Linked DNA regions of Mus musculus: region 2 is reported to be linked to region 1. The links are microRNA targets in miRTarBase. Many come from high-throughput screens and were not tested one by one. Region 1 holds a microRNA gene; the other region holds the end of a gene's coding sequence.

Region 1 (5,074 bases):
ATATGGACTAAGCAGGGCATGAATGAGAGAGAGAACAAAGGGGTTAGTTGATTAGAGTGGCTGAAGGGAAGAAACGAAAGGGGAGAATTATAAAATATTTTAATTTAAAAAGCACTTAAAAATTAAAATGAAACTAAACTTATTTTCCATAGTGCTATGTCCCTAATTTTAAATATTTTCACCTATGAGAAATAGGAATTAGATGAAAGGTTCCCCCTATATCTTCACCTAAACAATGTCCTGTGAAGGTAGCTACAATCGATCTTAGAATCAGAAAATACTCTTGCATGTGCATCTATGTTCTTACATTTACAATGACAGTACTTTATGAGTATCCTTATATTGAGAGAGATACCCCAAACTGTTTAAACTGTTTAAACCCTTTTCTTAAAGAGACTTCCTCCACTGCCAGAGATCTTGAATAGCCTCCTGGTCAGTCATCCGGAAACAATTCTTCACATAATTAATGAACTTGGCTTCCACTTTGGGAAGAGAACCGCCTTTTTCTATACTTGCTTGCATTTTTGCCTTAATGTCTTCTACAGAACTAGGTCCTTTTGGTGTTTTAGGAGTCTTTTCCTGTTTTTTGAAGGACTCTTGACCCTTTGATCTCGGTGTTGACGGTTTTAAGTCTTTTCCATTTTGGTTTGATTTTTGTGCATTTTTGGCTGGGGTATCTCGTACAGATTTCTTCACTGGGACCTTTTCTTCAGTTTCCTCTTCATCAAAATCATCATCATCATCATCCTCATCATCCTCATCATCGTCCTCATCATCTTCATCAAGTTTTACTTTTTTCTGTATCCTTATATTGAGAGAGGTTAGTAGAAAGTGACTGGTATCTGTCCTATATCACAATGCACACACCAAAATGAATGGAGACATATCATCTCATCTGACTCTTGCATTACCAAGAAGTTTCAGGAGTCCTTAACTCAAGTTCTTAGGGAATATATATACTCTCCTTCACTTTCTATCTCTACCACTTCTGGATCAGAGAGATAAAAGTCCTTTAACTTTATTTAATTACTGGGAAGGAAATTATTTTTTTTTTCTTTAGATTATCTTCTTTCTTTACATTCTCTATTTTGAAAGTACCCATGAGGTGAAACATGGATAGTCTACACTATGTTGAAAAAGTAAGGATATGGGGCAACAAAGACTCAAACCGTTTCTGTGTTTAGTCTTTCATTAACACAGTGTACCTCATTTTCTTTTTATGAAAGCATAATTCTTAATTTTAGCACCTTGTTCTCCTTTTCCTTACCTAACATAGATGCTTGAATGCTGTCCCATGAAAGTGATTAAAAAGATACACACAATTGTATAGTAAGGCTTTGTGATCATCCTGAAAACCATTATCAGTGATCTTACATGGAAAGCACTAATACTACCTAGAACCTATCAAAAATAACTGAATTAAAGAGCAGTACTTTACCTGGAAGATTTGTCGGTAGTCCAACTGTCTAACAGCTTCTTGAGTGAGATATAACATAAAGCATGAAGATATGGAGGTATCATCCATGTAGGCTAATCATCCCAAGCAGTTTTCATCACTTCACCAATTACAGCATGACATATTAACATTGATTTATTTATTTTCAACTGTTTGGGAATACAAAATATACTTTGTCACCTTGCATGATAAAGGAAGACCTCTTGACCTATAGCCAGATAGCCAGTGTGACTTTAAGATTAATCAGTGATATACTTTGCAAATGACTTTTAAAAACTAGGTAATGAAAATCTTCTAAAAGAATCAGAATATTGGGAGCATAGGATGAGAATACAACACAATTGTACCTGTATATCGCTGTTCAATTACTGGAGAAAGTTACAGAATACAGAAGATAGGAACTTGGTCTATTTAAATTCAAATCACTGATACCATCATAATTTCAGTGACTTGAATTTAAATCTGTTTGGTTCTTTTTCACTTAGGGCCATATTTATAAAGGAAGACTCTAATTACTTGTAGCTTTTCAGTCCACTTTCGTGCACTCATCATCTAAGTTGTCACAAGATATTTGAATTGATATTCAGTTGGGCCTGAAATCATTGATTGGTTTTATTTCTGATATTTATATTCATGATCCCTATTGAGACTGGCATGCAATTTTCTGTTCTTATAATTTGTATAATTTGGGTTCTGTGCAAGCTAGAATAATGCTAACTTCCACAACATTTAAACTTAAAAAAAAAATGAGAGCATAGTTTCTTCAGGTACAAGGAAGCAGATTCTGGAGCCATAATAAGGATGTATAGTTTCTTCATCTTTACTACCCAAGGCCACAACAAATGAAGAACATGATGAGCTTTACTTTACCCAGCATGGTGGCTTTCACCTACACTTCACGTGATTAGCAACCATGTGAGTAGAGCACTGCCCAGGTACTCTAGAACCAGCCCATCTGAAGTCTTTATTTCAACATGTGAAATAAAATTGAATAGAACATTGAAGTAAGTCGTCAACAATAATTACTTTTTTTTTTTAACCACACATTCTTCTTCGAAGCTGTCTTCTCATGTTCCACCATTAGGATTTTTCTTAGTATACTTCTAAAGTTCTACAACCGTTCTCTTCTCTATGGTTATAGATCTGAAGATATCATGAAGATGGATGAAGTATAATCCAGAATCAGTACATTTATCTTCTCTATGAAGGCATAATATGACCATATGGCTACCATCCCTGCGTTTGTTGAGCCTTACAATACTGAGAGCTGTTGCAGTTACTTATAGAATAAAGTAACTGCTACTTCTCTCAGCATTATAGTGCACACGAATTATTATTATTATCAGCTGACTTCAAAAACAACTTTCATGATTCTTCTCAGTATGACATGAATGCAATGTTATTTCTTTACACATAATTCCTCAGGAAGTATAATCATATTTTCCATTATCTTCCATCTCCATTTCAAGGTATCAGACTTGCTTCTTTCTTGATACTCCTCGAATCTGTATGAATTCAAGAGGTTAAGAATTAACAAGTCATAGCCGGGCGTGAATCCCATCACTCGGAAGGCAGAGGCAGGCGGATTTCTGAGTTCGTTTAAGGCCAGCCTGGTCAACAGAGAAACCCTGTCTCAAAAAAACAAAACAAAACAAAACAAAAATAGAATTAACAAGACAAATATTCTTATAAATATATAGGTCAGGTGACACCAAAGAATAACAAATGAACAAGGCAAGACCTCAAGATACCTGCAATGATTTAGTCATCAGCATCAAGAGAATATATCAAATGAAGGCTTCAGTATGTATTAATCTGTACTTTGAGATAGCATAGACTGATCCTTTGTACTTCATCTCAACAACAACAATTTCATCCAACAGCTTTTATCACAATCTTCACAATTAAACACACCCCCACTAAACTGTGTCTGTAAATGTTTGATTTCACACTTAAGCTGATGATATTGAAAATCCAATTGATTTTGCATGTACATTTCACATAAAAACCTGTCACTACCCTAACTTAAAGAGAAATGATGATCACAACAAAACATATTCTTTTATCAAACTTAATTATAATTATGACCAAAGTGAATATGAAATTGTAAAGGATTAATAAAAATATAATTTAAAAAATGTGGATTTTAGGTCAAAAGTTTTATGGGTGGGTTCGTGTCCTTATCTTTCACAGGAGGTCCTGCCTGTTTATAGGAGGTGGCCTCTTCAGGTTCCATGTCCACATTGTTAGGCATCTCAGCTAAGGTCACACACAATGGCTCCTGGGAGCCTTCCCTATCCTAGGTCTCAGGGTCTGCTTAGAGATTACCTCCACCCGTAAGTCCCCTGCAAGATAGAGATTTCCATTCATTCTCCTGGGCCTATGGGCCTCTTTCTTTTCCCTTCCCACACCTGATCCTGCAAACATATCCCCCTCACATACCCACATTGCTCCCTCTGCCTCCCATGACAGTTCTGTTACCCTTTTTAAGTGTGATTCAAGCATCTTCAATTGGGCCTTCCTTCTTGTTTAACTTCTTAGGGTCTGTGGGCGTATGTCATGGGTATAAGTATGTACATACCATGCATGTTCTTTTCTGTCTGGGTTATCTCACTCAGGATATTTTCTAGTTCCATCCATTTGACTGCAAAACTCAGGATGTCCTCCCTCTTAATAGCTGAGTAGTATTCCACTGTGTAAATGAAATACATTTTCTCTATCTATTCTTCAGGTGAAGAATATCTGGGTTGCAGTATTGCTGAATCTTCAGGTAGAACTATTTACAATTTTTTTGAAAAAACACCAGATTGATTTCCAGAATGGGTCTTCAAGATTGCAATCCCACCAGCAATGGAGGAATGTTCTTCTTTCTTCTCCACATCCTTGCCAGCATCTGCTGTTGCATCAGTTTTTTATCTTAGCTATGCTGATTTGTGTAAGATGGAATCTCAAAATTTGTCCTGTCTAAAAGAAATGCAGGGACAAAGATAGATCAGAGACTGAAGGAATGGCCAACCAATAACTCGTCCAAAGTGAGATCCATCAAATGAAAAAACACCAATCTCTGACATTATTAATGATACTCTGTTATGCTTGCAAACTCTGTTATGCCTTGAGAAGTTCCAACCAGAAGCTAAGTGAATAGATGTAGAGTCCCACAACCAAACATTGAACAGAGGTTTCAGACGACTTATGGACAAGTTGGGGAAAGGACTGAAGGGCCTGAAGGCAACAGGAACACCATAGGAAAACCAAATATGTCTACTAACCTGGACCACTGGAAGCTACTGGAGACTTTTTCACCAACCAATGAGCATACATCGGTTGGACAAAGACCCCTGGCACATATGTAGCAGAGGTCAGCCTTGTCCTGCCTCTGTAGGAGAGGATTATCCTAATTATGCAGACTTGATGAGCCTGGATGAGGGGCAATGGAAGAGGGACTGTAAGGGAGGCAACATGAGATATAAATAAAAAACATGATAAGACCAAATTTAAGTATTATTTATCTATAAATCAATCTTTGTAGAGACTGTGCTAGAAGCAAAACTTCACCTTGTGTGAGGAGCCGCCCTCACATTTGCCATTATAAGATGGCACTGACAGCTGTGTTCTAAG
Region 2 (5,062 bases), not on the chromosome of region 1:
AGCAAAACAAAACAACCCCCTACACACACACACACACACACACACACACACACACACACACAGAGCCATCTAAAAATAGCAATGAGTTCATTTTGTGTTGGCCATCTACTGATGAACATAGAACCTGCCCTTGCATACCCAGAAAGACTCCTTTAGAGGAAACTAATTCTTCCTTTTTGAGCAGTTATCAGTTGAAGATAACTTCTGGGCTAGGGATAGGACCTTGTGTCTACTTCCTCTCTCAGCGCTGGGACCCCATCCAGCTTAGACGTGTGCAGGCCCTGCGCATGCTCCATGAGTTCATCTAAGTGCGTCAGTCCTGCTGGGTATAGAAGGCTTTGTTTCCATGTTGTCTTCGGTTCCCACAGTCTCCTAGAATCTCTCTATCCCCTTTCTGCAGACTCTTTGAGCCCCGAGGTAGAGATTTGGTGGTCCTTCTGCCTTGTGCAGTTGTCTCTGTCCCCATCTGCAGGAGGAATGAGCCGATCATTCTTAATCAGAAAACCGTAACCTGGGAAATCCTAACTCGGTGGTTTTTTTTGTTTGTTTTTTGCTTTTTTTTTTTTTTTTTTTTTTGAGCAGGCTCGGCCAGTAGATTACCCCAAGGACTACCTCGCCCATCAGATTCCAGTATCATTTCACAAACACTGGCACATTGACCCGGTAAAGGTGTACCTCACGTGGCTGGCACCCAGTGAGGAAGACCAAGCCACGCAGGAGACACAGAAGGACCCAAGAGAAGAATTATAGAACAGAGTCTGGGACACACGGATACAAGAGATTCACCCTGTCTGTTGAGCTGTGGTCCAGCTGCTCGTGTATGCTGTGTGAAATGGACACTTCCCAGTCCTTGTGGAAATAGGATATTTTCTGTATCGGTAGACTCATAAGGGAAACTGGGAAAAATCGCTTGTTTTCATAGATGTCGTAATTGTAACACGGCAATTATTGTGCCTATTTTAGCCCACCGTGGGCTGTAAATCAAGAGCTTTTTGACTGTCAGAGGAAATAAATGGTACCTAAAGTCCTTTTCTGTTTTCTCCATTGTAACAGGGACGCCAATACAAGAATATGACTGGCTATCATCCCACATAAACATTGAATCTTTAAACATGGATATTGCCAAAGGAATGAGCCTTTAAACCAATGGTTCTCAACCTGTGGGTCGAGACCCCCTAGGAGTGGCAGTTGGTCCTATGTCAGGAATCCTACATATTAGGTACTTACATTGCAATTCGTAATTGTAGAAAAATTACAGTTATGAAGTAGCAAGGAAATAGTTTTATGGTTGTAGGTCACCTCAGCATGAAGGAACTACTGTATTAAAGGACCACTGCCTAAGGAAGGTTGAGAACCATGGCTTTAAATGGCTCTATTGTTGATGGAAATTGGTTCCCAGGCACTCAGTAGGAATGAAATACTGAGGCTGATTGGTAAAACCTAAAACTCAATATGAATACCCCCAACTATACAATCACGGTTGCTTTTTCCCCTATTCTGCTGGTTGCACCCCCAAAACAGACTCAAGGCCATCTGGTGAAGGCTCTGCTCCCTGCCAGCCTCCCCAAAGCCCTCCGCCCCCAATAGAGTGGACAGAGTGTCACCGGAAATTAGGATGCTAGGTTGACAGGTCTCTTCTGTGTCAGCAGTGGGCGTGGGGGGGTCTGGTAATGTGAGCTGCATCTGGAGCTGGCCTGTTACTCCTGCTGTTCCCTGGGTGTTACATAGTAACTCGCTTCTGGCTCTGGCTCAGGCTAGACTGCCTCCGTCCTGGCAGCATCAGCATGGCCCCTTGTGAGAGGACAGCATGGAGATCAGCAATTTCTCTGGGTTTTAAAAGAATGAAATCTGAACAACATGCTTTAAAGCAACCCTCGTTTTCCAGTGACACCTTTTATTATGTCCTAATTTAACAATTCAGCGTTAATATATATAAAAAAAGAGTACTGTGTGTTAATGTTTAAAGTAAGATGATGATTTTGTTATATAAATGTCTTTGCACATGATTTGCTCTCAAGTTCCTAAGGTTGTATGTTAGAATCCTTTCCTTTTTTTCAATCTGTACTTCATTAACCTTACTTATAAGGCTCCTAAGCCCTTATAGCCTTTAAAGCCACTCCATCAGCAATACCTATGTGATTACTTTTTAACAATGTATATTCCTATGTAGCTTACTTCTGACTCATGTCCAAATTCATGCAGTAGTGTTTATCATCCTTTTCCCAAATTAATAAGCACCAGGATTGGTGTGTGGCCCACTACTTCTGGTTTCTGGTGGAACACAGACTATGAAAACTGATTCTGTGGTTCAGCTAGAAACTGAACTGAGGACAGTCAAGTGCATGAAAGGGACCATAATGGCTTCTGGGTGTCCTGCAGATGGCTGTAGCATCATTGCTGACACGGCAATGATGAATGCCACCATTGTGACCATTGCTATCATGGTACTTACCTTCTTGACCTTGCAGGGATACCCCGGGGGGACCTGGTTGCTACACCAGTGCCGCTCAGGGAATTCCTCAGTCCACCCCTCCCATCTCTGCTCCTGAAATGTTACCAACCAGAGAACAGAGGAAGTTTCATTTGGTAGGACAAAAGCTAGCGCATCTGAGGAATGAAGAATGTTCAATCTTTTTTCTCTGTTATGACCTGTGCCCTCTTTCCCCCTCCTCCTTCCCCTCCCCCTCCCCCCTCCCTCCAGGATCCTGCTGGTATTTCTAGATATGTGGTTAACTATGTTTCCCTTTTGGAGCTACAGAAGTCTCATCATGAATACAATGTCTTCAGCTTACTTCTGACCTTGCATTTTGTCTATTGGTTGAGGCTAGATGTGGGGTGGGTAGGAGCATGCTGGACAGGCGCTGAGAAATTGGGAACACTGGCAGATTACTAAGACAGTCAATGAAAACTAAACATCTTAGGAAAAAGCAAAGAAAAAAAAACAGTTTTAAAAGAACCACGTGTTATGTTTTATACATAGCAAATGGCAGGCTCTATTTGAACACCAACTGAGAATTGATATCTTAAAAAAAAAGAAAAAACAAAACAAAACAAAAAACCTTAATTTTGAGCCTGGATTCTTCAGGGCACATCCCTCCCTCTTTGGTATTCTTTTTCCCTTTAAGTAAGGATTTCTTTGCCAGTAGATATTTTTATCCTAAGGATTTAGCACCAAGGATTTATGTATAGAATTACCTGATAGGTCATTTTTACTTTTAAGCCATTTCTCATGACCCAGCACATCGCCTGCCTGTAGAATTTTTACATCTTACAGCTAAATCAGAAGTCGAGACACAAAAATAACCTTTGTTGAATGCTTGGGACCGTAATCGCTCAGCAGCCAGAGTTACAAACAATGCTACGCAGGGCCGTGTTAGATGCCAGTGTTCACTGCGTGTCCTGATTGATCGACGACATTTAGTACGTTGCATCTATCATGGTTATTGATGTGTATAGAGAACCTCAGAGATTCACCACACAGTAGACATTTGTAAGAATATTTGTGGTGCCTCCCGTTCCTTCGTAGATGTGTCATTTTTGTGGAAGAAAAAAAAAAGCAATCAATGTACCATTAAGTACACTATAGCAGACTTACAAAGGGGCTTTGTTCCTGCTGTCTTTGAATGACAGGCCTGAAAAGGTGCTATTTAAATTGTTTATGTCCTCAAGCCCTCTAAACAAGTCACCTGCAAAATGTGTTCTCCTCCTTTCTATAGAATAAAATAAAGGATTTGTTTCTGGTATGCTTTGGCTTCTGTTGTCTCTTTAAAGGCATGATACTCCAAGCATGGGAGGGGAGGGGAGGGGAGGGGAGGGGAGGGGAGGGGAGGGGAGGGGAGGGGAGGGGAGGGGAGGGGAATGATCAGGAATAAGGTACTTTAACAAAAAGCCAGGACTTGGTTGGGTCCAGTTTAGAGGCTTCTTTGCAGGGAGCAGTTAGAGAGGAGGTCTGTGTGAGAAGAGAGTATTAGGACGAAGAGTTGGAAGATTAAGGAAGCTGAAATTTCACTAGTGGCTATGGAGGGTTTTATAGTCCAGAGGGACTGGCCAGGGTGCAGGTCCCCAACATGAAAGGGAGTAGAGAGTGTTCCTCAGCCGTCATTGTGAAGTTCAGATGATGGCCAGCAAGCAGCTGGATACGAAGTCTGGGCTTCAGGGCAGCCAGAGGTTCAATATTGAAAATCATGAGTGTTTCAAAAGCTTACTATCTCTGAGTTCTATGTAGATGTGTGTGTGTGTGTGTGAGTGTTGTGCTCATGAAGGCCCAAGGTGTCAGATCTCCTGGAGCTAGGAGTACCTGCTGTGGGTGCTGGGAACTGAACTCAGGTGCCATGGAGGAGCAGCCAGTGGTCTTGAGCCCTGAGCTATAAATTCAGCTATATATTCAGTTCCAGCTGAATCATGAGCATTTGAAAGGGTCCACCCTCTCAGGAGTGGGTAGGATGAACTGGGGAGAAAGTGAAGGAGAGAGAGACAACCTGTGTATGTGTGTGTGTGTGTGTGTGTGTGTGTGTGTGTGTGGAGTGTGTGTGAGGAGTATGTGTGAGGAGTGTGTGTGTGGAGTGTGTGTGTGTGTGTGGAGTGTGAGCTGCATGTCACAGCCAGGGGAGGTATTTCAAGAAGCAAATGTCCCATTCTATTCCAGCTGCCAAGAGGTCCATTAGGAGAGGAAGGGACTGTGTGATTCAGTGTCTTGGAAATCATGTGACTGGACACACCCATCCCCAGAGGTTGAGGAGCAAGTGCAAGTTGAAGACAACTGTGGTAAACATCTCTCTCTCTGTCTCTCTCTGTGTCTCTGTCTGTCTCCCTGTCTCTCACACACACATAGGCACACATAGAGAGTTCTGAGCTTGTCCATAGTTGAAGAAAGGAAGGTGGGTTGAGACAGAAGATGAAACCTGAGGCGTGAGGAGTTGGGCTTTCATGATGGAAAGTTCTGGAGCCTGTTGCAGAGAGCAGTACTGTCTACCCTGGCTGTGACAGTGGGTGGGGCTGGCCATGTTAGTCATGGCTCTGTGTTCGCAGGTCTCTGAGTGCTTAGGAGAACCTTCTGTAAGTG

What was found. The annotated mature microRNA mmu-miR-742-3p reads GAAAGCCACCAUGCUGGGUAAA and lies in region 1 at 2,322-2,343, opposite strand. An mRNA with a match to its seed (bases 2 to 7 or 8) in the 3' UTR can be bound and repressed. Matches are read on the target gene's strand: a 7mer-m8 pairs with bases 2 to 8, a 7mer-A1 pairs with bases 2 to 7 and ends in A, and an 8mer does both.
Region 2: the mRNA of B3glct is a reported target of mmu-miR-742-3p. Seed matches in the 3' UTR shown: 8mer at 1,358-1,365.

Annotation. Positions count from the first base shown.
Region 1 is chrX:66,778,055-66,783,128 of GRCm38, forward strand. Mir742 (microRNA 742) reads right to left here and starts at 2,383; the gene lies at 2,319-2,383. It overlaps Mir883a (microRNA 883a), which reads right to left and starts at 2,779; the gene lies at 2,704-2,779. It also overlaps the pseudogene Gm14681.
Region 2 is chr5:149,758,857-149,763,918 of GRCm38, forward strand. B3glct (beta-3-glucosyltransferase) reads left to right here. Exons shown (of 15, transcript NM_001081204.2): 15 at 583-3,743. The coding sequence ends at 750. The region is part of intron 1 of Gm36141 (predicted gene, 36141); the gene reads right to left. Gm38587 (a long non-coding RNA gene) reads left to right here and starts at 4,326. Exons shown (of 3, transcript XR_001785033.1): 1 at 4,326-4,764.